4 linked regions of the Anolis sagrei genome follow. The main gene of each other region encodes a partner of the protein of the gene in region 4 in a complex. Links are inferred from orthologs where the notes say so. Each region holds a gene or a part of one and is shown on either strand. Other genes may lie near its edges. The genes, in order: STX4, BET1L, STX18 and VAMP7.

Region 1 (7,666 bases), on a different chromosome or scaffold from region 4:
TTAATCCCACAAACTACATTACATTTTTATATTTAATAGATTAATTAATTATACAAATTTGGTGTCAATTCGCCCAGTGTTTTTTGAGTTATGTTAATCCCACAAACTACCATTACATTTTTATTTTTTATAGATTAATTAATAATACAAATTTGGTGTCAATTCGCCCAGTGTTTTTTGAGTTATGTTAATCCCACAAACTACCATTACATTTTTATTTTTATAGATCAATTAATAATACAAATTTGGTGTCAATTTGCCCGGTGTTTTTTGAGTTATGTTAATCCCACAAACTACATTACATTTTTATATTTTATAGATTAATTAATTAATAATACAAATTTGGTGTCAATCCGCCCAGTGTTTTTTTGAGTTATGTTAATCCCACAAACTACCATTACATTTTTATTTTTATAGATTAATTAATTATACAAATTTGGTGTCAATCCGCCCAGTGTTTTTTGAGTAATGTTAATCCCACAAACTACATTACATTTTTAATATATTAATTAATTAATACAAATTTGGTGTCAAAATTTGGTGTCAATCCACCCTGTGTTGTTTGAGTTATGTTAACCCCACAAACTAACATGACATTATTTATATAGATTCACAACCACCTCCTTTCCTTCCATTTTTGTGGCTACATTTCATGAGGAGAGACTTCAACTCAAGACTAAATATAGATCATTTACATCTATATATATAAATTTGTTAGGGGCATCCAACGGAGAAACAAAACTCAAAAAACCCCCAACGAAACTTAACCAAAATTCCCATGCCCATAACACAACCCACAAGGTACAAACATATCTACTCAAAATGAAAAACAACACAACAACACACTCACAAAACGGCAAAACAACAAAACTCAAAAATCCCCCAACGAAACTTAACCAAAATTCCCGTGCCCATAACACAACCCACAAGGTACAAACATATCTACTCAAAATGAAAAACAAAACAACAACACACTCACAAAACGGCAAAAGAACGAAACTCAAAAAACCCCCAACAAAACTTAACCAAAATTCCCATGCCCATAACACAACCCACAAGGTACAAACATACCTACTCAAAATGAAAAACAAGACAACAACACACTCACAAAACGGCAAAACAACAAAACTCAAAATTCCCCCAACGAAACTTAACCAAAATTCCCATGCCCATAACACAACCCACAAGGTACAAACATATCTACTCAAAATGAAAAACAACACAACAACACACTCACAAAACGGCAAAAGAATAAAACTCAAAAAAACCCCAACGAAACTTAACCAAAATTCCCATGCTCATAACACAACCCACAAGGTACAAACATATCTACTCAAAATGAAAAACAACACAACAACACACTCACAAAACGGCAAAACAACTGAGCATGCACATTGGCGCCCAGCCGCAAGTTCCCTGGCGCGTGCACATGGCCTTCCGGCCAACGTTCCCTCTGCCCACTCCAAGCCCCGCCGCGCCGCTTCCCGCACACACACACCCCCTGCCGCACACACACACACAACCCCACACTCCATCACTCCCCCCGCCGCCGCACACACACACGCAACCCCACTCCCCCCGCCGCCGCACACACACGCGCAACCCCACACTCCATCACTCCCCCCGCTGCCGCACGCACACACGCAACCCCACTCCCCCCGCCACCGCACACACACACGCAACCCCACGCTCCATCACTCCCCCCGCCGCCGCACGCACACACGCAACCCCACTTCCCCCGCCGCCGCACACACACACGCAACCCCACGCTCCATCACTCCCCCAGCCGCCACACACACACACGCAACCCCATGCTCCATCACTCCCCCGCCCCAATCTTACCTCCTTTTACTTCACACCACCTCCAAACCCCACCCCGCCCCTTCCTGCCCTGTCAAAATCTAGGAAAGACAGGAAGGAAGGAAAGAAGGAAGAAAGAGAAAGGGAGGTAAAGAAAAAGGGGGAAGGAAGGAAAGTTAGAGAAAGAAGGAAGAAGAAAAGGAAAGAAAAGGAAAGATGGAAGGAAAGAAAAGAGAGACAGCAGAAAAGAAAGAAACGGGGAAGGAAGGAAAGAGATAGAGAAAGAAGAGGAGAAGGAAAGATGGGAGGGAAGGAAGGAAGGAGGGAAAGAAGGAGAGAAAGAGGGAAGATTGGCCACATTTCTATTATTATTATTACTATTATTATTATTATTATTATTATTATGCTATTGTTCCTATGAGACCCTAGGGGAATGGGAGAGGTGTCAGGTCCCAGAGGCAATGCATTGCATTATTGTTATTGTTATGATGGTGGTAAAATAAAAGGAAATAAAAAGTGAAAGAAGGAAGCAAATAGGGAGGGAAGAAAGGCAAAGGAAGAAAGGGGGAGGGAATGAAGGAAAGAGAAGGATGAAACCAAGTAGTGAAAGAAAGAAAGAGGTAGAGAAGGAAGAAAGGAGAGAAAGGGGGAGGAAAAGGGGGAAGGAATAGGTAGGGACCTCTCTTTCATAATAGTCCAGATATCTACCTCAACTTTGATAAGTTTTACTATAGGCCACAGCAACGCGTGGCAGGGCACAGCTAGTTTATTATATTTAGGTTACTTTAGGGGTTACAACTTTGTTAGGCACTAAAAAAAAAGAAAGGGGAAGCCCAGGAAAGCAACACTATTGTCATGGGAGGATGAAAAAGAGGCAGAAATAAGGGCCAAAAAAAGATGGAGGAAAACAGAACACCCCCTCCTCCCAACGGAGGGAGTGTGACAGGAACAGCCAACGAAGCAGAAATATACGGAGGGGGAAGGGGGGGATGAACGGAAGAGCGGAGTCCCCTCGCGCCACCAAGAGAGGCGGGGCCTCAGCGACCGTTGTGGGCGTGGCCAGGCGCGCGGGGGAGAAAGAGGGCGCGCGTGCGGATTGCGGGGGGGAGGGGGAGGGGGTGATGTGCTCCTTACCTCTCTGAGCTCGTGCGTTCGGTCCCTCATCTTCTTTTTTTTTTTTTCTCACAACTCTGTGAGGAAGCGGAGTGAAGGGGGAGGGGTTGGAACTAGAAGGGAGAGCACAAGGCTGCGCATGCGCGCGCTCTGTTCTCAAATCTGTTTGGCGCTCCTCGCTCCGCCCTCCTCCCGGAGCTATAGACAGGACATCTCCGTAGTGCGCATGCGCTGTGCCATTTTCGCCTCTGGAGAAGCCAGTTCCTCTTTTTCCTCACAGTCGACGGGAAGATGAGGTGCGGCCCGGAGGCGTTAAAAGACTCCAAAGCCGTGTGTTTATGCTATTACGGAAACGATCCTCAATCAATTTTCCCCCCCACCTTTCACATTAAGAAGTTGCTTCAATGGAGTAATTATTTTAGGGTTTAAAAACAGGAAGTGACGTCAGGCGTATACATTGAAAGCTCATCTGCAATATGTCCGCTGCCGGATGTTGTCACTCCACCGGATGTCTTTTTTTTAATTCATCGGTAATGAGTGCCATAGGACAGGCATAGAGCAAACTTGGGCCCTCCAAGTCCTTTGAACTTATAGAATCAAAGAGTTGGAAGAGACCTCATGGGCCATCCAGTCCAACCCCCTGCCAAGAAGCAGGAATATTGCATTCAAATCACCCCTGACAGATGACCATCCAGCCTCTGTTTAAAAGCTTCCAAAGAAGGAGCCTCCACCACACTCCGGGGCAGAGAGTTCCACTGCTGAACGGCTCTCACACTCAGGAAGTTCTTCCTCGTGTTCAGATGGAATCTCCTCTCTTGTAGTTTGAAGCCATTGTTCCACGTCCTAGTCTCCAGGGAAGCAGAAAACAAGCTTGCTCCCTCCTCCCTGTGGCTTCCTCTCACATATTTATACATGGCTATCATATCTCCCAGTCACTTGAAGTGACTGGACTGACCTTGAAGGAGCTGGGGGTGGTGACGGCCGACAGGGAGCTCTGGCGTGGACTGGTCCATGAGGTCACGAGTCGGAGACGACTGAACAAATGAACAACAACAACAACATCATATCTCCTCTCAGCCTTCTCTTCTTCAGGCTAAACATGCCCAGCTCCTTAAGCCGCTCCTCATAGGGCTTGTTCTCCAGACCCTTGATCATTTTAGTCGCCCTCCTCTGGACACATTCCAGCTTGTCAATATCTCTCTTGAATTGTGGTGCCCAGAATTGGACACAATATTCCAGGTGTGGTCTAACCAAAGCAGAATAGAGGGGTAGCATTACTTCCCTGGACCTAGACACTATGCTCCTATTAATGCAGGCCAAAATCCCATTGGGTTTTTTTGCCCCCACATCACATTGTTGGCTCATGTTTAACTTGTTGTCCACGAGGACTCCAAGATCTTTTTCACACGTATTGCTCTCAAGCCAGGCATCCCCCATTTCGTTTTTCCTGCCAAAGTGGAGTATCTTGCATTTGTCACTGTTGAACTGTTGAACTTCCACAATTCCTAACATGAAGAGTGAAGGGGGGGGGGGGGGCAGGGGTCAGTTCCACCTTGTCTCCTGTTCTATGCTTATGTAATATAATATATTGTATATAATTGTATATAATATATTGTATATAATGTAATATAATGTAATATAATAATACAATATATAATATATTGTATATACAAGGTGAGGCAGCATAACTTCCTTTTTTCAATCCTCCAAGGTTGAGGGGTGTGCTGTCGCATGCTGGGCCTGTGCATAAGACTGTAGACAGGACATAAATTCCGTGTGCCCAACGGGACGCCGGGGCTGCCTCAGATTAAAGGCCCTTGGATTCCCCCAAACAGAGTCTTTAGATTGCTTAAAGGTTCAACAATGTTCTTTATTAATGAAAACAAACAGGTATTTCAAGGCTTTCTTAACAGTCTATTGGCTCTTTCAATCTTGTCCACAGGGAATAGGCACTATCTTCATGACGTATTTTATCTAATGGGGAAATCCTTAACTTCTAATCTGGGCAGTGTTTCTTTGCCTCTGTTGGCGTGGAGCCCTTACACCTGGTACCAACTGCGTCTGGCTTCCGCGAGTGACCCTTACCAAGAAGAGCTTTGTAGACTTCCAGGGAAAAAGGAGTTCAGGTTTCAGTTATGGCTGGCTGAAGTCCTTCAGCAAAGGAGCTGTAAGGCTGTAAAATCCTCAGCCAAGCTGTGAGGCCTTTTCTCCCCGGCCAAGCTGTAGGCTGTATATCTCCCCGGCCAAGACGTAAAGCTGTATATCTCCCAGCCAAGCTGTAGAAGACGAAGCTTTCTACAGGAGCTCTTGGTATTCTGTCCTGTGAAAGGCTTCTCTGTGTGGACTGAACCAAAAAGGCTCCTATTCCCTCCAAAACCCCAAAAAGGGGGCGGGACCAGGGAACCTAACTATAATTGACAGGTGGCTTGCCCTATGATTGCAGCCAAAAGAAGCCACCTATCTGCAGAGTCCCTGAAACTTGGGACTATAACAAAGCAAACAAAATTGGAGCTCTTGGAACAGCTGTTCCAGAACAATTCCTAACATAAAGAGTGAAGAGAGGGGGGCCAGGGGACAGTTCCACCTTATCTCCTGTGCTATGCTTATAATATAATGTCATATAATGTATTGTAGATACAAGGTGAGGCAGCATAATTTCCTTTTTTCAATCCTCCGAGGTTGAGGGGTCTGTTGGATACTAGGAAAGTGAGGTTAATATGTAATGCAATATAATACTACTACTACTACTACTAATAATAATAATATGGCATTATAATTATATATTTATATTTCATGGAATACAGGGTGCAGCAGCATAACTTTCTTTTTTAAAACTTAATAAAACTCATTGTATGAATCAGAATTTTTTAAATAATAATTTTTATTGAATTTTTTATATAATAACAGAATTTGAATCAGAATTTTTTTTCATAATGTAGGCGCATACCTAAAGTTTTGTTTCACGTAGTTTTGAAAATCAAATTAGGTAGGTGACGTCCCCCATTCTCCATACACTGAGTAAACCGATTTCTGGCGTTTGTCATTACTCTTGCCAGCGTAGCAGGAGTTACGTTGGCAATTTCTTCCTGGATGTTGGTCTTGAAATATTGTAGGGTCCTTGGACGGTTCACATAAACACGGGATTTCAAAAAAACCCATAGAAAAAAATCACAAGGGGCCAAATCTGGAGAGCAGGCCAGCCACTCCAAATCCGCTCGAAAAGTAGGCCTCAACGGCAAAATCACGCTCCTCACTGTTCCAATGCATGATGGCGAATGAATTGTGTCAGGACAAAACTTTATACCCGCCCAGGGCCGTACCCAGAAAATTTCAGGGGGGGGGGGGGGGTTGAAACCTGCCTCCTAGCTCACGCTGAAGCAAAGAGCACAGCAGGGGCAGAGCAGCTTTCAATAGCCTGCAGCTCTGCCCCTGTCAACCACCTCCACCAAGTCTGGCCTCCTTAATGAGAGCATTCAACACCCCCCCCCCCCAACTTGGTTGCTGCGCTACATCAGCTAATGACAGTGTGAATAAATTGTCGATATTTGTTTGAGATAGTGCTTGCAGTTCTGGAGGGACTCTTAATTTTTTGCGTCTCATAGACTTAGCATGGGGATTTGGTTAACCAGTTAAAATTAATGAGTAAACCAAGTTTTTTTTTACCTGAAAATTTTTTGGGGGGGGGGGTTAGGGGTTCAGGCTTGCTCCCGCCTCTCGCTCCGCTACATTTTTAACTGCATTTTAAAAAAGGAAGTTATGCTGCCTCACCCTGTATATATATTTATAATATTGTAATGTAATACAATATAGTACTAATAATCATATACAGGGTTAGTCAAAATGCATAGGCCAATAAGCCATTCAATTGAATGGCTTATTGGCCTATGCATTTTGACTAACCCTGTATTATAATTATATATTTTATATTACATGTAATATTACTAATATTACAATATAATGGTATAGTACAATAGTATATAGTAATATATAATACTGATATTGTACTATGCTAATAATATAATATATTGTATGTATATATATCTTGTTAGCTGCTCTGAGTCCCCTTCGGGGTGAGAAGGGCGGCATATAAATGTCGTAAATAAATAAATAAAAAATAGCAGCCTCAGGCGCCTTCCTTTTCCTGCAGCTGCAGCTGACGGGCAAAAGGAAGGGGCCTGAGGCTGCTAGAAATTGTGGGAGTTGAAGTTCAAAACACCGGGAGGGCCCAAGGGTAATAGTATGATAGCTGGTTGCGGAAGCTCCGAGTGTTATGGAGATGCTGCATCGCAACATAGACTAAGCTAATGTAAGCCAGGCCGGAGACAGATAATATAGAAGGATTCTAAGAGTTCTTTAACGGTGAAACCCTAATCCTTACCCCAACCCTGAACCGCACCGTAAACCTAACCCCTTGTTGTTCATTCGTTCAGTCATCTCCGACTCCTCGTGACCTCATGGACCAGCCCACGCCAGAGCTCCCCTTACCCTAACCCAAACCCTAAACTTACCCTAACTGTAACCCCTAACCCATACCCAAACCTTAAACCTTGCCCTAACCCTTACCCCAAGGGTCTTCTCCTTTCTATCCTTCCTTTGCTCTCCCCGTTCTCACTCCGTCCCCTCTTCCCTTATTCACAGCCGCCTTTGCAGCATCTCCGTAATGCTTGGAGCTTCCGGACCCAGCTATTATACTATCACCAGCCCAAGTTTGCCCATGCCTGCCTTAGGGCTAAGTGGTTGTTTAGAAAAATTA
Region 2 (7,451 bases), on a different chromosome or scaffold from region 4:
TTCTATGATCAACACTTTTGCATAAATTGGTACATATTCTGTAATTTGGTAATAGACTGAGCTTCCCTTATCCAAAATGTCTGAGGCTACAGTGTTTTGGATCCCCCCCCCCCCCCCCCAGATTTTGGGATATTTGCATATACATTTGATTAAGACATATATTAAGATGGGCCCAAAATCTAAACACCTAATTCATTTATACTTTATAGCAGGCATGGGCCAACTCCAGCACTCCAGGTATTTTGGACTTCAACTCCCACAATTCCTAACAGCCTACCAGCTGCTAGGAATTGTAGGAATTGAAATCCAAAACACCTGAAGGGCTGAAGATTGCCCATGCCTGCCTTATAAACATAGCTTGAAGATAATGTCACACATATTTTAAATCTGTTTGAAGTCTGTGTGCATTGAACTACCAAAAAGCAGAGATGCCAGTCTCTTGGCCATCTATTTTCAAATTTGGAGTATTTCAGAATTTCAGGTAAGAGATGCAACTCAGCAGGTGTATTTCCCCTATAGGGGTCAATATAAACATTGTTGAGTGCACTAGCAGAAACAGATATTCAGAAATTATTTAATATTTTACACAAGTCAAGCCTGGACTTGTTATGAACAAAAATGTAGGTCTGGAATCAGACCTGGGATGACAATAATAATAATAATAATAATAATAATAATAATAATAATGGGCTGTTGTAGGTTTTTTGGGCTGTGAGGTTAAGGATGCTTGCCACAGATGCAGGCAAAACGTCAGGAGGGAATGCTTCTAAAACATGGCCATACAGCTGAAAAACCTACAACAACCCAGTGATTCCAGCCATGAAAGCCTTCAACAATACAACAACAACAACAACAACAACAACAACAATAATAGCTTTATTTGTATTCCTAGAGAACTCAGGGCAGATTCCAACAACAGAAGGAAAACAAAACATTTAATGCCTATACAATAAGAATAACAAATACAAATGCATTAACAAACCGCCCAAATCCCAAAAAAGTGAATGTATATCACTTTAAAATGCACATAAATCAAGTTTACAACCACATATCAAATTAAACAAACAACTCACTTAAAATTAATTTAAATTATATCTAATATGAAAATATAACTCTGGCATCACAAAGAATTCACAAGAATCAATAATGTATTTAATTATTTACCCTATTTATATCATCTTTCTCTACCCCAAGGGGGATTGAAGGCAGCCAACATATGGTAATTATTCAATGCTTTAAACACATATTATTTATTTATTTGCAAAGGGGACTCAGAGCCACTTACAAGATATATATACATAAAATATATTGTATTATTAGCAAAGTACAATATCAATATTAAATATTACTTTATTGTACTATACCATTATACTGTAATATGATTAGTAATATTACATGTAATATAAATATATAATTATAATATATTATTATTAGTATTATATTGCAATACATTATAATATTATAAATATTATATGTATATACAATATTAAAATATTACTATATTGTACTATACCATTATATTGTAATATTATTAGTAATGTTACATGTAATATAAATATATAATTATAATATCATATTATTAATAGTAGTATTATATTGCATTACATTATAATATTATAAATATTATATGTATATACAATATGTTACATTATATTACATTATTAGCATAGCATAGGAGACATACAAACATTAAGCTTAAAATCCACTGAATTAAAATGAATACATAATTTAAAAATTTAAAAAATTACATTCAGCATTAAAATCACGCCATCCATAACATCTACACCGTAGAAATAATGCAGTTTGACACCACTTTAGCTGTAGTTTTATAAGGCTTCCTCTGCCTGGGAGTGCTGGTGCCTCATCAAACTACAACTCTCATGTTCCAGAGCATTGAGTGATGGCATTTAAGGTGGTGTCAAGCTGGATTTCTTCTAAAGTGTACGCGCATCCAAGGTTTCATTTAGCCAAGCCTTGTTTACATCCTCCAAAAACCCATTGGATTCCAGTCTTGCCCAGATATCTACCTACCTTTACAAAAGGGGAGTGGTTAGGAAACATTTCCCAATCTGGTTTCCTTAATCCAAGATACAAAGTGACATATTATGATCATCGTGATTGGGATCATATCAGTATGCAACCCTCCTCCCAGCAAGCCCAGCCACCCCATTTATTGGGGAACCCAAGGGAACCCCAGGAAGGGGAAGGGCGGCTTGTACCTTCCTTTGCAGCCGAGCTGCTTGTGGTGGGAAGTCAGTCTCTTCGCCTCATTCCCTGCTGCTGCCTCCTCCTTCCTTCCTTCCCCCAGGACAAGAAAGGGAAGCCAAAAGGAAGGAAAGGCAGCCAAGAGGGGGCGCCAGTTGCCGGAGGACACCAGCACTCTTTGGCAGAGGATGCTAAAGTCTGGGTTGCTGTGAGTTTTCCGGGCTGTAGGACCCATGTTCCAGCAGCATTCTCTCCTGACGTTCCCTCTGCATCTATGGCAGGCATCCTCAAGGGTTGTGGGGTCTGCTGGAAATTAGGAAAATGGGGTTTATATATCTGTGGATACTCCAGAGTGAGAGAAAGAACTCTTGTCTGCGTGAGGCAAAGCAGCCAGGCTTTGAAGCTGCAAGGCTATTCGATGCTAATCAAGCTGGCCAATTGCAACATTCACACTTGCATCAAAAAACGAGAGGAAACTAGGAAAATAGGGTTTCTGTGGAATGTCCAAGGTGGGAGAAAGAACTCTTGTCTGCTTGGGGCAAGTGTGAGGCAAAGCAGCCAGGCTTTGAAGCTGCAAGGCTATTTGATGCTAAACAAGCTGGCCAATTGCAACACTCACACTTGCCTCAAACGGACAAGAGGAAACTAGGAAAATTGAGTTTCTGTGGTATGTCCAAGGTGTGAGAAAGAACTCTTGTCTGCTTGGGGCAAGTGTGAGGCAAAGCAGCCAGGCTTTGAAGCTGCAAGACTATTCGATGCTAATCAAGATGGCCAATTGCAACATTCACCCTTGCCTCAAACAGACAAGAGGAAACTAGAAAAATGAGGTTTCTGTGGGATGTCCAAAGTGGGAGAAAGAACTCTTGTCTGCTTGAGGCATGTGTGAAGCAAAGCAGCTAGGCTTTGAAGCTACAAGGCTATTCAATGCTAATGAAGATGGCCAATTGCAACATTCACCCTTGCCTCAAACAGATAAGAGGAAACTAGGAAAATGGGGTTTCTGTGGAATATCCAGGGTGGAAGGTGGGAGAAAGAACTCTTGTCTGCTTTGTGTGAGGCAAAGCAGCCAGGCTTTGAAGCTGCAAGGCTATTCGATGCTAATCAAGCTGGCCAATTGCAACATTCACACTTGCCTCAAATGGACAAGAGGAAACTAGGAAAATGGGGTTTCTGTGGAATGTCCAGGGTGGGAGAAAGAACTCTTGTCTGCGTGAGGCAAAGCAGCTAGGCTTTGAAACTGCAAGGCTATTTGATGCTAATCGAGCTGGCCAATTGCAACATTCACACTTGGCTCAAACAGACAAGAGGAAACTAGGAAAATGGGGTTTATGTGGAATGTCCAAAGTGGGAGAAAAAACGTTTCAATGTTTCAATGGACTACCTTGGTTAGTATTCAGTGGCCTAGCTGTTTCAAGGTCTGGCTTCATACTGCCTGGGGGAATCCTTTGTTGGGAGGTGATTAGCTGGTCCTGATTGTTTCTTGTCTCCAGACAAGAAACTCCCCTGTTTTTGAGTGTTGTTCTTCATTTACAGTGCTGATTTTGTTAGGTACTGTTAGGAATTGTGGGAGTTGAAGTCCAAAACACCTGGAGGGCCCAAGTTGGCCCATGCCTGGTAGATGCACTCCAAGACAGGCAGGACAGAAGATATTTAGAGGGGGGGGGGGAAGAAACCAGATTTGTGTAAGGACAGAAGAGAAACCAAGAAACTTGGTTCCCCCTTTTTATAGTTTATTTTTTTTGTAATTAATTTGCCAAGAATGGGGCTGGACTGGATAGCCTCTAGGGTTCCCTTCCAGCTCTATCATTCTGTAAACCTTACAGAGGCAGCAACCTACGTCACAAACAGGGGCGGGGCCAATGCTCTTGGATGCCCGAGGCGGAGAATCCAAAGGGCAGCCACTTCCTGTTCCTGCCCTCAAGAAACATGGCGGCCCATTCCCACTCAGGGAGCATGCCCTCTGGAAAAATGGCGGTCTAAGCCGCACTCTTCCGCTCTCGGGGGAGGCGCTTATCCAATCCCCGCCCCACGGCCTCCTTGCCCTCTTCCCTGATTGGTTCGTTTGCAGATCGATTGCCCTCCTTGGCACCGCCTCTCGCCTTGGCTCCGGATGGGACACGGAGGCAAGAGGCAGCCATGGCGGATTGGGGCCGAGGTAGGAAGGGAGGGAGGGAGCGGTGTCTGAGGGGAGGCGGTAGGCCTCGGAGGGAGGAGGAGAGTGGGCGCCCTTCGTTCTGCCCTAGTTAAGCCTTCCCTTTGTTTTGGGGAGAGGGCCCTCCTTCCCGTTGAAGCAGGCCTGGGCAAACTTGGGCCCTCCAGGTGTTTTGGGCTTCAACTCCCACCATTCCTAACAGCCTGTAGGGCCGAAGGTGGCCCAGGCCTGCTTTAAATGGTTCTCCCCCCACGTCTCCTTTGTTTTCTTTCACAGAAATGCCCTTTGACAGCTGAAATAGTGAGTCAGGCACAGTATTGCCCATCTTAACTCCATAGCATTGAGTCATGGCAGTTGAATCTGTTTCAAACTGCATTAGTTCACAAGTGTAGACCCACTGAATAAAAAGAAAAGGAATTATTCATGCCGGAAATTCTTGAGACCAGAAGTATTTTGGATTGTGGCATATTCACCTATATTAAATTAGGTATCCTAGAGATAGGACTCAAAAGCTAAACAGGACATTCATTTGCTTCATTTGTATATATGTGTATATATGTTATTATACATTATTATTTGATACACAAAAAGATTAGTGCACAGCAAGCAAGAACGCTGTGCTGGCTTTTGTATTTGATTACACTTCAGACACATCCCAAGTATCTGTGTGATGTATTAGGAAATAATGTATGCAGAACCAGGTAGGGTGGCCTATTGCAACTGACAAATGGTAATATTGTAGGCGCCGACTGTTTTTAAGTGCAGGCCAAGGTATTTAGGCACTGTACCCAGTGTGCCGATCACCACTGGGACCACCTTTACTGGCTTGTGCCAGAGTCTTTGCATTCATTTATGATACATTATCATCATCATCATCATCATCATCATCATCATCATCATTAAGGAGCCCCCGGTGGCGCAGTGGGTTAAACCCCCCCTCCCCGTGCCGGCAGGACTGAAGACCGACAGGTCGCAGGTTCGAATCTGGGGAGAGGCGGATGAGCTCCCTCTGTCAGCTCTAGCTCCTCATGCGGGGACATGAGAGAAGCCTCCCACAAGGATGATAAAAACATCAAAATCATCCAGGCATCCCCTGGGCAACATCCTTGCAGACAGCCAATTCTCTCACAACAGAAGGTACTTGCTCCTGACACGACAAAAAAAAATCATGTTTATTTATACCCCATTTTATCTCTCCGAAGGCAACTAAAAGTGGCTTGACATTAACACATCAGCATAACCATTTAAAATATACAAGTATTGTTGTTGTTGCTATTATTACTTATATTACTTATATTATTACTTGTTACTTATAATATATTATTACTTTATCTCCCCAAAGGTGACTAAAAGCAGCTTGACATAAAAGCATCAGCATAATCTTTTACAAATATACAATTAGTATTATTATTATTATTGTGGTTATGTTTGTTTATACCCTGCTTTATCTCCCTTGAAGGCAGCTCAAAGCAACTCAATATAAAAGCATCAGCATAAACATTTACAAATATACAAACATTAAAACAGGATTAAATATAAACAGTATTCAAAAACTTTGCTTAATTTGTTGAGTCACTGGCTTATTTATTTATTGTTTATTCCTATCCTTACAATCAAAAGGAAGGCTACAAGTTAAGAATAACTTTACATAGCCTAAGAGTCCTTTCATAAACAGTTTTAAAGAATTTCAGGCATGCAGCAAAGTTCGTATATACTGATCCATCAGAAAGCAAATGTCTTGCTACTTTCTTATTTCAGTGGACTTCTGTCCTTCCCCAAAATGTTTGGGATGGCTGTGTTTTGGATTTTTTCAGATTCTAAAATCCTTGCCTATCAGTAATGAGACATCATGGAGATGTGACACCCACAACATTCATTTATGATTCATACATGCATATATAGCCTCAAGGTTGTTTTATATACAAAGATTTTTTTTAAAATAATTTTGTGCGTGAAACCAGGTTGGACATATTGAACCCTTAGAAAAAACAAAGATGTTACTTTCTCAGCCATTGTGCTGAGATTGGATTTGGGGATTTATGAATAAGGGATATTCCAACCCTGTATTTCCATTATTGGTTTCTCCATTTGTTCTGCTTTCATTTTGGGTGGTTATGTGTGGAAACTGATTTTTTTTAATACTGTTACATTTAATTCTGTTTTAATATTTGCATATTTTTATATTTAAAATTATGTGGTCATACTTTTAATGTAAGCCACTTTGAGTCTCCTTTGGGAGAGATAAAGCGGGGTATTGGTGAGGAGGAGGAGGAGGAGGAGGAGGAGGAGGAGGAGAAGAAGAAGAAGAGCAATAATAATAGTAATAGTAATAATGGTGGTTACATGGGGTTAAGCAAAGTTCTCCAATTATGGATCCTGGCTGGACAGCAGTAGAAAAAGAGTGTGGCATTAAAGAATATAAAATGGTTATATGAGACACTGTTTTTATTGAAATGCATGTAAACTACCAGCATGACTTTCTATGACGGCAATGGGAATTTTTCCACATACTGGGGAAAATGCTGTGTTCTGTGGCTGTGAATACAGAGCAAGAATCCATTAGCACATGCACCATGTCTATACAGAGCATGAATCCATTAGCAGTAGCAGCCATGTCTACATCATGTTGCAGTGAGTTTCACAGTTAAACTTTGAAACTCACTGCAACATGATGTAGACATGGCTGCTACTGGAATGGCTTGAAAGAGGGTTTCCATATATTCAAAGAGGGAGGAGCCATCAATGGCTGCTACTTTGGGTTGCCGTGTGTCCATCGCTGGGGCTTGTGAGATGGAGTTGTACTCAGGTCTTGCTGGTGGTTTCTGCTGCATGTGGTCCTTTGACTTCATCTATTGTGAATTTCCTTATTCCTGTAAAAATACTGCAAAGTATGGCACTTTGCTTCTGAAACTGGGTCTCATGATGGCTCACAAGATTAAAAAGAATGGAGAAGTTATAACATTAAAACACAATTAACCAAATTATAATGTTAAAGTGCATTGAATTAAAAAATATAGCACTAGTCTATTAACAGCCCTTTTCACAACAATCCATTTCCAAAATATGCCTGGATTGAAAAGATATTTTTTAAAAA
Region 3 (8,153 bases), on a different chromosome or scaffold from region 4:
TCTGAATCCACACTGCCATATTTTTCAGTTCAAAGCAGATATTGTCGGATTTTATTCAGCTGTGTGGAAGGGGCCCAAGTAATAACCAGACCCAACACTGCATAGCTTCCAATGATGGGCTGCTTACTGTAGCCAATTTTTTTTTTGTGGTGTCAGGAGCGACTTGAGAAACTGCAAGTCGCTTCTGGTGTGAGAGAATTGGCCGTCTGCAAGGACGTTGCCCAGGGGACGCCCGGATGATTTGATGTTTTTATCATCCTTGTGGGAGGCTTCTCTCATGTCCCCGCATGAGGAGCTGGAGCTGATAGAGGGAGCTCATCCGCCTCTCCCCAGATTTGAACCTGCGACCTGTTGGTCTTCAGTCCTGCTGGTACAGGGGCCTAACCCACTGCGCCACCGGGGGCTCCTTGTAGCCAAATGAATACTGATAAGAATCACAAATACCAACTAGTAGCATGGATTTTTTTTTAACCTTGGACCCATTCTGGATCTATTTTAGCATAGGACACATTTCGTTCTGGAGAAAGGCATACACACACCACCCTATGCAACAGCTATTTATATTACACTGTTTTAATCAAGTCACAACTTAAAAACAGTTCAGATGATGTAGCAAAGATTATTTGTTATCCTTACCTGGCAACTCAGTAAGGTGGCCTGTGGGTAGAGAAAAATAAAATAAAATGGTCTGGTTTTCAACGAGATCAAATTGTGAGGTCGTTTTTTCAATTCTTTGACTTCTGTTAACAGGGCTCCACATTTTAAGCATCAGAAGAACTTGAAATTATTTTCTTTTAACTTGGTGATCTATTAATGGAAATTGCTGTGAAGATAAGTCAACTTGGCAGAAGACTATTTAAGTTTGCAGGAAAATAATACAGAAGATGCCATCCTGCTGCTGGTTAAAAGCCAAAGAGTGTGTAATATGGCTCTGTTTTTTTCTTCTCTTCAACTAAAGTCTAAATATCCATTTAACTTCTAGGAGAAAAGGGGGTAGCTAGTATGTCATTCCCATCCAGTCAAATATCTTTCCCTGCCGTTTGAACCCATTGCTCCCTTGTGCCCTGGTCTCTAAAGCAGCAGGAAATCCTCAATGGGACACCTTCTGGAATCTTGAAACATGGTTCTCATGCTCCCACTCTACCTTCTCTTCTCCCAGCTAAACATCCACCCAGGAGGAAAGGAGGAAGGAAAAAGAGAAGGGAGGGAGGAAGAGATGATTGGAAGGAAGGTTGGAAGGGAATGGTTGGAGGGAGGGAGGGAGAGAAGGGAGGGAGGAAAGACAAAAGGGAAGGAAGGAGAAAGAGAGGAGGGAGGAAAGAGGGAAGGAAGGAAGGATGAAAAAATGGAAGAGAAGGAGGGAGGGAGAAAAGGGTAAAGAAGGAAGGAAGCGAGGGAGCGAAGGATAAGACAGTGGGAGAGAGGAGGGCCTGAGAAAAAAGTCCAAGGGGCTGCATTTGGCCCCCAGGCATGGGTTTATCCACACCTGGTCTGACACATCACCTCTTAACTTTCTCTTCTCCAGTCTAAACATACCCGGCTCCCTAGGCTGCTCCTCATAAGGTTTTGGCTTCCAGGCTACTTTTGGTTCCTCTCAATAACAATATCCTTCTTAAATTGTGGTGCCTAGAACTGGACGCATTATTCCTGTGAGGTCTGATCAAAGAGTGGAGTCAATAAAATAGATAAAACAAGACAATCATTTCCCTCAATCTGGGCATTATACTATTGATGCAGCCTAGAAAAGTATTGGTTTATTTAGCTATCACACCACACTGTTGACTGTGTGGAAGGGGCCATAAAAAACACAACAAAATCCCTACAAATCAGGGTTTACTAAATTGCTATTGAATACACAGGGCATGGTTTTAATGTTGTTTTGTTTAACAAATAGCTGTAAGGAACTTTTGGCAGCTAAATAGGCAGACATTTGCAGGCAGTGGCCTCTTCTGGTGGCAAAGGAAACCAACTCTCAGATCAATAAATGCAACAATTTTTATACAGCAGCACCTTTTGCGCTAAGAGTGCCTTGGACTGCGAGAAGATCCAACCAGTCCATCCTCCAGGAAATAAAGCCCGACTGCTCACTGGAGGGAAAGATACTAGAGACAAAGTTGAAGTACTTTGGCCACATCATGAGGAGACAGGAGAGCCTAGAGAAGACAATTATGCTGGGGAAAGTGGAAGACAAAAGGAAGAGGGGCCGACCAAGGGCAAGATGGATGGATGGCATCCTTGAAGTGACTGGACTGACCTTGAGGGAGCTGGGGGTGGTAACGGCTGACAGGGAGCTCTGGCGTGGGCTGGTCCATGAGGTCACGAAGAGTCGGAGACGACTGAACGAATGAACAACAACAACAACCTTTTGCGCAGGGAGCACGTTCCCAATGATACTATGAAACAAAATTTGGGAGTAAAAAATCTGTTCTTGGTTTGAAAGGGTTATTTCCTTAATTGTGCGGTACTTACTTTGAAGTAAGACTTTGATGCAGACTGCAGCCAGAAAATCAGATGCTTACTTCTTGGGAGGAGAGCAATGACCAATCTTGATAAAATAGTGAAGAGTAGAGACATCACACTGGCAACAAATATCCTCATAGTAAAAGCAATGGTATTCCCCGTAGTCACCTATGGATGTGAGAGCTGGACCTTAGGGAAAACTGAGCCAAGGAAGATAGATGCTTTTGAATTGTGGTGTTGGAGGAAAGTGCTGAGAGTGCCTTGGACTGTGAGAAGATCCAACCAGTCCATACTTCAGGAAATAAAACCCAACTACTCATTGGAGGGAAGGATATTAGAGGCAAAGATTAAGTACTTTGGCCACATCATGAGAAGACAGGAAAGCTTAGAGAAGACGATGCTGGAGGAAATTGAAGGAAAAAGGAAGAGGGGCCAACCAAGGGCAAGATGAATGGATGGCATCGTTGAAGTAACTGGCTTGATCTTGAAGGAGCTGGAGGTGGTGATGGCCGACAGGGAGCTCTGGCGTGGGCTGGTCTATGAGGTCACAAAGAGTCAGAAGAGGACTGAACGAATGAACAACAACAACATACTTTGAAAGTAGTTGTTATACCCCAGAAACTTTGTTTTTGTGGCTGCCACAAACAATGTTGAATTGGTTGAGACTGGATGAGAGAGTCATTGAAAAACCATAGCAAAATGTGCTGCAGGATAACATGCAAACACAAAGTTTTGTCTGTTTAATAAAAAAAATCTCATTTTCTTATGATAGAACCAATTCGGAAATGGCATTTATAACCCAGGAACAAAAATCGTGTTGCATAGTGAAATCTCCTTGGGATTCACAGCTGTGAATATGGCATCGCGGGAGAGAAGTGTCCTTAGGAGGGCGACTAAAACAATCAAGGGTCTGGAGAACAAGCCCTACAAGGAGCAGCTTTCACTTTCATTACACCCAAGGCTTTTTCACTCTTAACACATACAGATTTTCAGGGAAGTCATGCTACCTGTCTATTCTGCCTTGGTTAGACCACATCTGGAATACTGTGTCGAATTCTGGGCACCACAGTTGAAGGGAGATGTTGACAAGCTGGAAAGTGTCCAGAGGAGGGCAACTAAAATGATCAAGGGCCTGGAGAACAAGCCCTATGAGGAGCGGCTTAAAGAGCTGGGCATGTTTAGCCTGAAGAAGAGAAAACCGAGGAGACATGGGTTGTTGTAGGTTTTTTCGGGCTATATGGCCATGGTCTAGAGGCATTCTCTCCTGATGTTTTGTCTGCATCTAGGCAAGCATCCTCAGAGGTAGTGAGGTCTGTTGGAGCTAGGAAAAAGGGTTTATATATCTGTGGAATGACCATGGTGAGACAAAGGACTCTTGTCTGCTGGAGCTAGGTGTGAATGTTCCAACTGACCACCTTGATTAGCATATAATGGCTTGACAGTGCCTAGAGCAAACTTTTGTTGAGAGGTGATTAGATGTCCTTGTTTGTTTCCTCTCTGTTGTTGTGCTGTTGTAATTTTAGAGTTTTTTTAATACTGGTAGCCAGAGGAGACATGATAGCCATGTATAAGTATGTGAGAGAAAGTCATAGGGAGGAGGGAGCAAGCTTGTTTTCTGCTTCCCCGGAGACTAGGACGCGGAACAATGGCTTCAAATTACAAGAAAGGAGATTCCATCTGAACATTAGGAAGAACTTCCTGACTTTTTTTTTTATTTCGTGTCAGGGCAGCCAGTCAATTATATTACATTTCTAACAGAACAAAGCAAACAAACAGAGAAAATACAAAATTTGTGAGTTTGGTAGTTGATTAAATGTCCTTTGACCAGTATCTGGCCACTTGGAGTGCTTCTGGTGTTGCTGCAAGAAGGTCCTCCATTGTGCATGTGGCAGGGCTCAGGGTGCATTGGAGCAGGTGATCTGTGGTTTGCTCCTCTCCACATTCGCATGTCAAGGATTCCACTTTGTAGCCCCATTTCTGAAGGTTGGCTCTGCATCTCGTGGTGCCAGAGCACAGTCTGTTCAGCGCCTTCCAAGTCGCCCAGTCCTCTGTGTGCCCAGCGGGGAGTTTCTCATTTGGTATCAGCCATTGGTTGAGGTTCTGGGTTTGAGCCTGCCACTTTTGGACTCTCGCTTGCTGAGGCGTTCCAGCGAGTGTCTCTGTAGATCTTATAAAACTATGTCTGGATTTAAGTCGCTGACGTGCTGGCTGATACCCAAACAGGGGATGAGCTGGAGATGTCTCTGCCTTGGTCATTTCACTTCCTGACTGTGAGAGCTGTTCAGCAGTGGAACTCTCTGCCCCAGAGTGTGGTGGAGGCTCCTTCTTTGGAGGCTTTTGAACAGAGGCTGGATGGCCATTGTCGGGGGTGCTTTCAATGCAATTTTCCTGCTTCTTGGCAGGGGGTTGGACTGGATGGCCCACGAGATCGCTTCCAACTCTATGATTCTATGATTCTAGGTGAGAATCATGCCATGCTTCAAAATGAGATGCAGGAAGAAAGCAGTCCAAACATCTTTGGGGGACGAGATTACTCCACTACAGGAAGTCCCTACAGGAAGTGAGAGGTTGCCAAGGAAACGTTTTATGAGACATGTCAATTTCAGACAGGGCGAGGGCGTCACCAAGAGGGCACTCAGTGGAGGCGGAACCTTCGGGCGCGGCCCAGTTGCGAGAGGGAAGGCTTTGAGGAAAGGACGCGTGGGCAGGAGAGGCCCGCCCACCTGCCCGCCTCAGCCCAGCCATGGCCGTGGACATCACGCTGCTGTTCAAAGCCAGCGTGAAGACGGTGAAGACCCGGAACAAGGCGCTCGGGGTCCCGCTGGGCGGCAGCGGAGGCAGCAGCAGCGACTCCTCCCGCGATGAGGCCCTCCTCATCCTCAAGCGCTCCCGGCCAAGGAGCGACTTTTCCAACCGGGCCCGGGAAGTGGTGAGTCCTCAGGAAGGAAGGAAGGAAAGCTAGCAGGGAGGGAAAGCAGGAAGGCTGCGACGTGGCTCTGGGCTCCTTCCGGGAGATTTTAGGGGAGAGAACATAAAAAGGAGTCTCAATCCTATTGAAAGGAATGACATTTGGGAATCAGTCATTGAACCCAATGGGATTTCCTTGTGAGAAAGTCAGCTTAAACCTCAGAGCCCCTCCAAACAGCTGTATGGCCCAGAATATCAAGTCAGATAATCCACAATATCTGCTTTGTACTGGATTATATGAGTCCACACAGCCATATAATCCAGTTCAATATGGATTTTATATAGCTGTGTGGAAGGTGCCTCAGGGCCCTTCCACAAATCCCTATATCCCGGAATATCGAGGCAGACAATCCCACATTACCTGCTTTGAACTGGGTTATCCGAGTCCACATTCCGATAATGTGTGATTTTCTGCTTTGATATTATGGGTTATATGGCTGTATGGAAGGGCTCTTAGAGGTTTCTCATTACATTTTTGCAACATACCTATATGCATAGGCAAACACTTGTGGCTGAATATGAGAATATAATATTAATAATAATAAACTTTATTTATACCCCGCCACCATCTCGCCAATGGTGGAGCCCCTAGTGGCGCAGTAGGTTAAACCCCTATCTGAAGGTTGACAGGTCGCAGGTTCGAATCGGGGAGAGGCGGATGAGCTCCCTCTATCAGCTCTAGTTCCTCATGCGGGGGACATGAGAGAAGCCACCCACAAGGATGATTTTTTTTTTTGTCGTGTCAGAAGTCGCTTCTGGTGTGAGAGAATTGGCCGTCTGCCAATTTTTTTTGTCACATCAGGAGCGACCTGAGAAACTGCAAGTTGCTTCTGGTGTGAGAGAATTGGCCGTCTGCAAGGACATTGCCCAGGGGACACCAGGATGATTTGATGTTTTTATCATCCTTGTGGGAGGCTTCTCTCATGTCCCCGCATGACAAGGATGATAAAAACATCAAATCATCCTGGTGTCCCCTGGGCAATGTCCTTGCAGACGGCCAATTCTCTCACACCAGAAGCAACTTGCAGTTTCTCAGGTCGCTCCTGACATGACAAAAAAAAATATCCCCAATGAGGACTCGGAGCGGCTTACATGAGGCAAGCCCAAACAACAAATTACAATAAAATAAAACCAAAAACGCAAACAATAAACAACAGCAACATAATTACATAGAACATGTGAAAAACATAGCAATATAAAATTACAGTAGGCACAATCACAATGACAGTGGGCGGATTACATGTAATGGTTAAAAGAGAGACTGATTAAAAACTGATTAAAACTCAGGTGAGATAAGAAAGAAACAGATTATTTGCAGAGGAGGGCTCATTATAGTGGTGGTTGTGGGATCAGGCTTTCCCACAAGGGAGGGCATGTACTCTAATGACAAAGTGTTGATGCACTAGTATGAAGATGTAAACCTATTCATCAAAAGCGCAGCGGAAGAGCCAGGTATTAAGGTTCTTTTTATGATTGTCTTCTGGAGACAGAGCCCCCTTCTAAACTGCCATATAAAATCCAGATTATTTGCTTTGAAATGGATTATATGGCACTGTACACTCATATAATCCAATTCAAGTCAGATGATGCGGATTATTTGCATTGACAATCTGGATTATGTGGCAGTGTAGAAGGGGCCTCATATAATCCAGTTCAAAGCAGGTAATGTGGATTTTATATCGTAGCCCTTCCACACAGCCCCATATCCCAGAATATCAAGGGTGAAAATCCCACTATATCTGCTTTGAACAGGGGGCCCTTGCACAAAGCCCTGTATCCCAGAATATCAAGGCAAAATAAATAAATAAATAAATCCCACGTTATCAGAGTATGGACTTGGGGCCCTTCCACACAGCCCTATATCCCAGAATATCAAGGCAGAAAATCTCACAATATCTGCTTTGAACTGGGTTATCTGAGTTCACACTCAGATAATGTGGGATTTCCTGCCTTGATATTCTTTGATATAGAGCTGTGTGGAAAGGCCTTAAGTCTGTCATTTATGTGTTCACAAGAGAGGTGTTGAAGCTTAGTAGGGAAGATGGACCAACTACCACAGTTCAGATATGCATTTCCGTATCACATTTCTCTTGGTGTTTTCCACTTTTTCTGTAGTTCTTAGGTGAGTTTGAAATCGGCATAGAAGGAAGCAGTGTCGGTGTGTGACTGATTACATTGGAAACACTGGAACTGGTTTGACACCTGTATAGTAATTTCATATAACGCAGAGGTTGACCGTGAACCAGTTCTAGGATCCACAGTATCTGTGGGACTTGATAAATGCAGAGAATGTGGGGGGTTTTTTTTTCAACCCTCTCCACCGGAATGTACATCCTTCGATCAGCAGAGTGTTTTGGGTTTCTGCACAGTGATTCCCATTCTACGAAAGGGGTTTTCTGTGAAATGTGGTTTACACTAGAGTGTGCTTATGTGCATTAAGGACTTTATTTTGGACTTTCCTCTGACTGTAGTGAGCTTGATTTAAAGCCCTTAAAGTGCACTGAGGTATGCCTTTGAAGTGTGTGTAGCCTAACCACCACACACTGAAGAATGGTCAGTGTAGATCTGTCCTTAGGCTCATTTGCTATTTTATTTGTATGTGTATTGGTGCTGGTGGTGAGGATCTCTTTCTACTTGATATTGATAAAGCATCAATACAGGTTGAGCAGCCTTGACACAAAATGCTTAGAACCAGAAGTATTTAGATTCTGCCCCCCACCCCAATT
Region 4 (8,233 bases):
TCCTATTTTAAGACCAATGGGGCCATAAAATGGAATCGGAGGCAGAACACTTTACCAAACATTAATTTTCTTTCATGTTTATAAAAAAATAATGGGAAAATTACTTATTTGGGTCTCAGAATCTCCAAACTATTGTTGGTCATGCTGAAAGGCTGTTTCTAAGGATCTATGGCCCAATCCAAGCTGTGATTCCTGACAGAAAAGTTCTTCTGTTGTTAATTTAATAGGCACTTCATTAAGAAGAAACATACTTACTCTTTCATGATCATGTACCGGAGAGAGTTGCCAAGAGTGTGGTCCTCATTGTGGAGCACAAAGGTGACACAGCTCTTATCTGAGCCTTCAGTTCGTACCTGTGGGAACAGCAGAGGAAGAGGACATTCATTTCCCCAAAACCATTCCATGGAAGTAACACATCTTCTTCTATGTACAGGCCATGTTGCTTTTCATGGAGATACAGCTTCTTAGCCCAGTGTCTACAATAATGGGGAGGGCTGGGGACTCATGGCTGAACAATGGCATGGGATGCAGGCCTTCTTAAGTAGCTATGAACCGCCAGCATTGGATGAGAAATACTGCTCAGACTTATTTATCATGTTAGAAGCAAATTGAGAATAAAGTTATAATGTATTAAAAAAAACACAAATTTGCCAATTGCTCAGGCTGTTTGGGTGGGAATCCTGAGCTTTGTCCCCTTCTCAAGGCAGGTCTCAAGACAGTTTTCTAATCTTAAAGCAATAACAAAAATTACTATTAATTCTTTATTCTGCCATTTCAATCTTATGTCTCCAAAATTTAATAGAAGTGCTATATTTGGATTTTAGGTATATTAATTGATAGTATGTCATTAATTTCATCAAGACATTTTTCTGCCTTTTCTCTGGTGCTCCGGGCTGTCTTCTGTCTCAGCAGCTGCTCTGTTCTGCTGCCACCTTCTGTCTGCTTCTGATATAACCCAGAATATCAAGGCAGATAATTCACAATATCTGCTTTGAACTGGGTTATCTGAGTTAACACTGCCATATCCAATTTATCAAAAAGTTTATTAAACTGCCAAAGATGGAGTGCACTGTATTGTTTGGAAACCTGTCCTTCAGGTTAACACCCATTGAAGGTGACCAGACTTTGTTCAACTGCCTTAGTGGTTGGCCAACACTCAGTGGTGTATAGAGCGACTGGTCTCACCACCGTCCTGTAGATTTTCAATTTTAGGTGGATTGGGATCTTCTTATCACACATTACATCTGTCATTGCTCTCCACTTCATCCATATGGAGTTTACATGTCCGTGACCATCCGACAGTACTTCGCAGGCAGAGGTTATCTTTGAGCCGAGGGATTTAAAGCTGGTCACTTTGTTGAGGTCAGTCCCCTTGATATTGATGGAGCCATCCTCTACTGTTGGTCCACATTCCATGTACTTTTTTGAGATGTTAAGCTGTAGTCCGAAATATTGCACATGATTTTTCCACACTTGCACTTGAGTCTGCAACTCTACCCATGACTCGGCGGCTAACATAACATCTTTGGCATACAGCAGCATCTAAGGATGTGGTTTCTGTATATCTCTGGTGCAAATGTGTACAAATTGATGGTGACCATGCTGAATAATAGTTTGGATAGAGGACAGTTCAGGCTATGATCTGGAGCAACTTCTGCTGTTAAATGTTCATTTATAACATTTTTATGATGCAGGAGGCAAAACTTTTTGGTCCACCTGCATATTTCTAGCACCCATTTTTTGCCAGTGCTTCTTGTAAGTCCAGAGTAACTCCCAGGTATTTGGGTGTGCTGCAATGCTCTAGTGGGACTCTTTCGCAGGTAATCCTCAGAGTTGTAAAAACATCTAAAGCTTCGGAGAGCTTCTGTTCAACCATGTTTATCAGGCATGGGCAAACCTGGACCTGCCAGGTGTTTTGGACTTCAACTCCAGGGGACAGTTCCATCTTGTCTCCTGCATATGTGATCAGTTGAGGACCCCCTCCCCCCAGCACCAACTACCGCTCTGGGCCAGAGTGAAGAGATGGGGGGGGGGGAAGGGGACAGTTCCATCTTGTCTCCTGCATATGTGATCAGTTAGGAACCCCTCCCCCCAGCACCAACTGCCGCTCTGGGCCATAGTGAAGGGGGGAGGCAGGGGACAGTTCCATTTTGTCTCCTCCATATGTCATCAGTTGGGGGGCCCTCCACTCCCATAAAATGGACTATCCTTTTCTCTCTATCGCCCCCTTGTAGCCTCTGCCCAGATAATGAAACAGTGCCCTTAAAACATTGTTCATTCGTTCAGTCGTCTCCGACTCTTCGTGACCTCATGGACCAGCCCACGCCAGAGCTCCCTGTCGGCCGTCACCACCCCCAGCTCCTTCAAGGTCAGTCCAGTCACTTCAAGGATGCCATCCATCCATCTTGCCCTTGGTCGGCCCCTCTTCCTTTTGCCTTCCACTTTCCCCAGCATCATTGTCTTCTCTAGGCTTTGCTGTCTCCTCATGATGTGGCCAAAGTACTTCAACTTTGTCTCTAGTATCCTTCCTTCCAGTGAGCAGCCGGGCTTTATTTCCTGGAGGATGGACTGGTTGGATCTTCTCGCAGTCCAAGGCACTCTCAGAACTTTCCTCCAACACCACAGCTCAAAAGCATCGATCTTCCTTCACTCAGCCTTCCCTAAGGTCCAGCTCTCACATCCGTAGGTTACTACAGGGAATACCATGGCTTTGGCTAGGTGGATCTTTGTTGCCAGTCTGATGTCTCTACTCTTTACTATTCTATCGAGACTGGACATTGCTCTCCTCCCAAGAAGTAAGCGTCTTCTGATTTCCTGGCCACAGTCTGCATCTGCAGTAATCTTTGCCCCTAGAAATACAAAGTCTGTCACGGCCTCCACATTTTCTCCCTCTATTTTCCAGTTGTCAATCATTCTTGTTGCCATGATCTTGGTTTTTTTTTATGTTTAGCTGCAATCCAGCTTTTGCGCTTTCTTCTTTCACCTTGAATAGAAGGCTCCTCAGCTCCTCGCTTTCGGCCATCAAAGTGGTGTCATCTGCATATCTGAGGTTGTTAATGTTTCTTCCAGCAATTTTCACCCCAGCTTTGCATTCCTCAAGCCCCGCACATCGCATGATGTGTTCTGCATACAAGTTAAAAAGGTTGGGTGAGAGTACGCAGCCTTGCCGTACGCCTTTCCCAATCTTGAACCAGTCTGTTGTTCCATGGTCAGTTCTGACTGTTGCTCCTTGGTCCTTGTACAGATTCCTCAGGAGAGAGACAAGGTGGCTTGGTATGCCCATCCCACCAAGAACTTGCCACAATTTATTATGATCCACACAGTCAAAGGCTTTAGAGTAGTCAATGAAGCAAAAATAGATGTTTTTCTGAAACTCCCTGCCTTTCTCCATTATCCAGCATCCGGATATTGGCAATCTGGTCTCTCGTTCCTCTGCCTTTTCTAAACCCAGCTTGAACATGGTATAGAACAATATAGTAATATATAATACTAATACTTGAACAATGGTATAGTACAATATAGTAATATATAATACTAATATTGTACTATGCTAATAATAGTATGAAAATATATCTTGTAAGCCGCTCTGAGACCCCTTCGGGGTGAGAAGGGTGGTATTTAAATGTTCTAAATAAAGAAATAAAGAAATAAACTCTCAGCATTCCTAACAACCTCAGGCCCCTTCCATTTCCCCCTCAGCCGCTTAAGCCTGAGGCTGTGAGGAATACTGGGAGCTGAAGTCCAAAACACCTGGAGTGCCCAAGTTTGCCCAGGCCTGATACACACACACTGTGCAGGTACAACTGTACCAGGAACTCCAATTTTGTTTGCTTTGCATTGAATGTTTGTTGTAGTCCTAAGTTTCAGGGACTCTGCAGATAGGTGGCTTCCTTTGGCTGCAATCATAGGGCAAGCCACCTGTCAATTATAGTTAGGTTCCCTGGTCCCGCCCCTTTTTGGGTTTTTGGAGGGTATAGGAGACTTTTTGGGTCAGTCCACACAGAGATGCCTTTCATGCAGGACATAATACCAAGAGCTCCTGTAGAAAGCTTCGTCTTCTACGGCTTGGCCGGGGAGATATACAGCCCACAGCTTGGCTGGGGTTATACAGCCCTACAGTTCCTTTGCTGAAGGACTTCAGTCAGCCATCACAGAAACCTGAACTCCTTTTCCCCTGGAAGTCTACAAAGCTCTGCTTGGTAAGGGTCATTCGCGGAAGCCAGGGTCTCCACGCCAACAGAGGCAAAGACAGGCTGCCCAGATTAGAAGTTAAGGATTTCCCCATTAGTTACAGTTATGAAGATAGTGCCTGTTCCCTGTGGACAAGACTGAGAGAGAGCCAATAGACTGTTAAGAAAGCCTTAAAGTACCTGTTTGTTTTCATTAATAAAGAACTTTGTTGAACCTTTAAGCAATCCAAAGACTCTGTTTTAAGGAAATCCAAAGGTCTTTAATCTGAGGCAGCCCCGGCGTCCCGTTGGGCACACAGAATTTATGTCCTGTCTACAGTCTTAATCACAGGCCCAGCGTGCGACAGCACACACACACATTCTGATATGGAAGGCATGGTTCAGAGAAAGGAAAGTCACATGTAGATACTGTACATCACTAAAAGGTGAAGACAGGAGTCACACTGCCCTCCCTCACCATCTGCAGAGACGGGGGCTTCCTCTTCTCCTCTTCCTCGCCCATCTTTCCCTCAGAAACAGACGAGAAACACTTCCGGTTTGTGTTGTCTACTGGCAGCTTTCCGGCCTCGCTCTTGTCGTCACTTCCTGTCTTTCCCCGGCGTCCGAACTCGGCTTCCCAGGAGCCTTTGCGGCCAGGGGCGGAAGCTCACGCGCTGCTGGCTTGTCCTGGAAGCTTGTCGATTACAGGACGGGGCCTGGAGGGTCCGGGCGGGCGCTTGGCCAGGTGAGGAGGCGGAAAAGCCGGGGAGAAGGAGAGGGGAAGAGACGGAACGGCGGTTCTCACCAAATAGGAGGCTTGGTTGCCGCTGAGGGAGGAGACCTGCCTCCTTGGTGGTAGTGAAGCCTCGGACTAGGCCACTGTTGCTATAGCAACGCCCCCACCCTCAGGTAAAGGGTTAGGCCTGACTGAAGCCTTCCTCCTTTCCTTCTCAATTGTGTCCTTCCACACAGCCATATAACCCAGAATATTAATGCAGGAAATCCTACAATATCTGCTTTGAACTGGGTTATATGGCAGTGTGGACTCGGGCCCCTACCACACAGCCATATATCTGCTTTGAATTGGATTATATACGAGTATAGATGTAGGCCTACCACACAAGGCAAATAACCCAGAATATCAAGGCAGATAATCCCACAATATCTGCTTTGAATTGGATTATATACGAGTATAGATGTAGGCCTACCACACAGCCATATAACCCAGAATATCAAGGCAGATAATCCCACAATATCTGCTTTGAATTGGATTATATACTAGTATAGACATAGGCCTACCACACAGCCATATAACCCAGAATATCAAAGCAGATAATCCCACAATATCTGCTTTGAATTTGATTATATACTAGCATAGACATAGGCCTACCACACAGCCATATAACCCAGAATATCAAGGCAGATCACCCCACAATATCTGCTTTGAATTGGATTATATACTAGCATAGACGTATGCCTACCACACAGCCATATAACCGAGAATATAAAAGCAGATAATCCCACAATATCTGCTTTGAATTGGATTATATACTAGTATAGACGTAGGTCTACCACACAGCCATATAACCCAGAATATCAAGGCAGATAATCTTGCAATATCTGCTTTGAATTGGATTATATACTAGTATAGACGTAGGTCTACCACACAGCCATATAACCGAGAATATCAAAGCAGATAATCCCACAATATTTGCTTTGAATTGGATTATATACTAGCATAGACGTAGGCCTACCACACAGCCATATAACCATGAATATCAAAGCAGATAATCCCACAATATCTGTTTTGAATTGGATTATATATTAGTATAGACGTAGGCCTACCACACAGCCATATAACCCAGAATATCAAGGCAGATAATCCCACAATATCTGCTTTGAATTGGATTATATACTAGCATAGACGCAGGCCTACCACACAGCCATATAACCGAGAATATCAAAGCAGATAATACCACAATATCTTCTTTGAAGTGGGTTATCTGAGGCCTCTTCCACACAGTTGAATAAAATCTGACATTTTCTGCTTTGAACTGGGATATATGGCAGTATGGACTCCCAATATAACCGAGGCTCCTTCCACACAACTGAATAAAATCCCACATTATCTGCTTTGAATTGGAATAGATGGAAGTGTGGACTCAGATATCCCAATTCAAAGGAAATTTGGTGGGATCTTTTGCCTTGATATTCTGGATTATATGGCTGTATGGAAGGGCCCTGAGTCCACACTGCCATATATATAATCCAGTTCAATGTGGATTTTATACAGCTGTGTGGAAAGGGCCCTGGTCAAGCTTCCCAGCCTTTCTTTCTCAGCGCTTTTCTTAATGTTGCTTCTCCTTTTTTCTTGAAGAGGATAACACTTGTCTCTGCTTCCTCCTCTTTAATGCTCTTGTGGGTCTCATCTCCACTGCCATATAATCCAGTTTCTGTATCCAGATTGTCTGCTTTGAACTGGATTGTGCGGTAGTGTAGATTCATATTATCCTGCCTCAGGGTGCATACTTTTTGCCCTGGGATATAATAGTAACAGTAATTACAATAATGCTTTATTTCTAGACAGCCCCCTCTTTCCAAGGGGACTCCGGGCAGTTGTCTTCCTAGGATGCAGTATGTATCATCCTTGGATTTGTAATTTGGAAAAGTGCTGTAGCTCTCTGAATGTGTATCAACTGTCAATTTATGACCACCCCATAGATTTCTTGAGGAGTTCTCAGACAAGGAGTGATCAGAGGTGATTTCATCTGTAGTGCTTGGCAGTCTCCCTTCTAGATCATAACCATTCCGCTTCCAAGATCAGACAGACTCTAGTGCCTTTAGGATATGTTTCCCTTAATGTCCTATGAAATTGCAGTCCTTAAAGGCTAGTGTGATGGGGCCCTTGGTGGTTTTGACTTTTGCAGATTTGATTGTTCATGGATTATATTTGATGTTTCTCTCTAGAAATCTCTAGCTCTTCGAGTACAATTCTTTGATCAACTTCTAGCAGACATCAACCATAGAACCTCAAATGGAACCCAGGGATGGCTTTTACCTTACATACTAATAGGTTCTCATATCTATTTGGTGTTTCAAAAACATTGCAGTAAAACAAAAGCTTTTCTCTGCTGATTCTTCAGCAGAGAAAACAAAAGATACCCTTGTATTAAGTGCACAAACACAGTGGGTCACGTAGTTGACTCAATCAGCGATTAAAACCAGTTAACATTGTAAGGCAAGATTTTAGGTGTCTGTATGGAAGGTTCACAGAACATTTGGAGAAAAAGCCCTGATGTGATTACTACATACTTTGCGAAGTCTGCGCAACAGCACAGGAGGACCATTCTCATCCTCCTGTGCTGCAGAAAGACCTGTATCTTTTAATCTTCTTTGACAAAATAAAGTGCCATCCTAGAACATAATGTCTTGAAGAGATTACATTTGAAAAGTCACAGTGACTATTCTTTTGTGTAAGGTTAGCGCCTGAAGGGGATATAAAATGGAAGTAATGTGAGTAGACAATAAATAATTAGTACCGTAGTATAAGCTAAGAAGGTTTTTAAAAAGCCTTTTCTGGATGGAGCAACTTGGGCAAGGAGCAACCGATTTTCCCTTTGGCAAACTATGTGGCTAGGATTGCATTAATACACTTCTGCTTTCTTGAATAGTTTTATACAAGAAGCAAGAGGCATAATAGGAAGCTAAGATTCCTTGCCCTTTAAGAAACTTTCTTACTGCAAGGGCTGCCATTGGATCATGTGCCCTAGTTTTTAAAAAAACCATTTGCCAAGTGTGACTTCTGTTTATGGTATTTGGGAGCTGGAGGAGACCTTCAAAATTACGTTGTCAGTTTGGCCTAGAGTCAAGATTGTGACTTGTTGTCATGCTTGGATTCTACCATCTTTTTGGATCATGTGATTTTAATATTTATATGAGGATGTTTTTGATGCTTTATCTTAGTGTTTACATGTTGTATATGCCTATGTTTAATAGTTTTAATGGCTTAAATTTATAGTTATATGTCAGTGTTAATTCTGGTTTGTTGGAGTTAAGAATGAACA

The links.
Region 1: VAMP7 (region 4) and STX4 share a complex: the UniProt entries of both Homo sapiens proteins name them as parts of the SNARE complex. The link is inferred for Anolis sagrei from reciprocal best matches to the Homo sapiens genes VAMP7 and STX4.
Region 2: VAMP7 (region 4) and BET1L share a complex: the UniProt entries of both Homo sapiens proteins name them as parts of the SNARE complex. The link is inferred for Anolis sagrei from reciprocal best matches to the Homo sapiens genes VAMP7 and BET1L.
Region 3: VAMP7 (region 4) and STX18 share a complex: the UniProt entries of both Homo sapiens proteins name them as parts of the SNARE complex. The link is inferred for Anolis sagrei from reciprocal best matches to the Homo sapiens genes VAMP7 and STX18.

The regions. Positions count from the first base shown.
Region 1 is NC_090026.1:14,722,423-14,730,088, reverse strand, and holds the start of STX4 (syntaxin-4), read right to left. Parts: upstream 3,068-7,666; 5' UTR 2,965-3,067; coding exon 2,935-2,964; intron 1-2,934. UniProt on the Homo sapiens protein: Plasma membrane t-SNARE that mediates docking of transport vesicles. Necessary for the translocation of SLC2A4 from intracellular vesicles to the plasma membrane.
Region 2 is NC_090021.1:237,756,604-237,764,054, reverse strand, and holds the start of BET1L (BET1-like protein), read left to right. Parts: upstream 1-4,256; 5' UTR 4,257-4,341; coding exon 4,342-4,360; intron 4,361-7,451. UniProt on the Homo sapiens protein: Vesicle SNARE required for targeting and fusion of retrograde transport vesicles with the Golgi complex. Required for the integrity of the Golgi complex.
Region 3 is NC_090025.1:106,541,742-106,549,894, forward strand, and holds the start of STX18 (syntaxin-18), read left to right. Parts: upstream 1-5,133; 5' UTR 5,134-5,203; coding exon 5,204-5,389; intron 5,390-8,153. UniProt on the Homo sapiens protein: Syntaxin that may be involved in targeting and fusion of Golgi-derived retrograde transport vesicles with the ER.
Region 4 is NC_090030.1:14,746,366-14,754,598, reverse strand, and holds the start of VAMP7 (vesicle-associated membrane protein 7), read left to right. Parts: upstream 1-4,800; 5' UTR 4,801-4,914; intron 4,915-4,968; exon of another isoform or gene 4,969-5,078; intron 5,079-8,233. Other genes in the region: DNA-directed RNA polymerases I and III subunit RPAC2-like, read right to left, coding at 256-353, 4,648-4,692. UniProt on the Homo sapiens protein: Involved in the targeting and/or fusion of transport vesicles to their target membrane during transport of proteins from the early endosome to the lysosome. Required for heterotypic fusion of late endosomes with lysosomes and homotypic lysosomal fusion.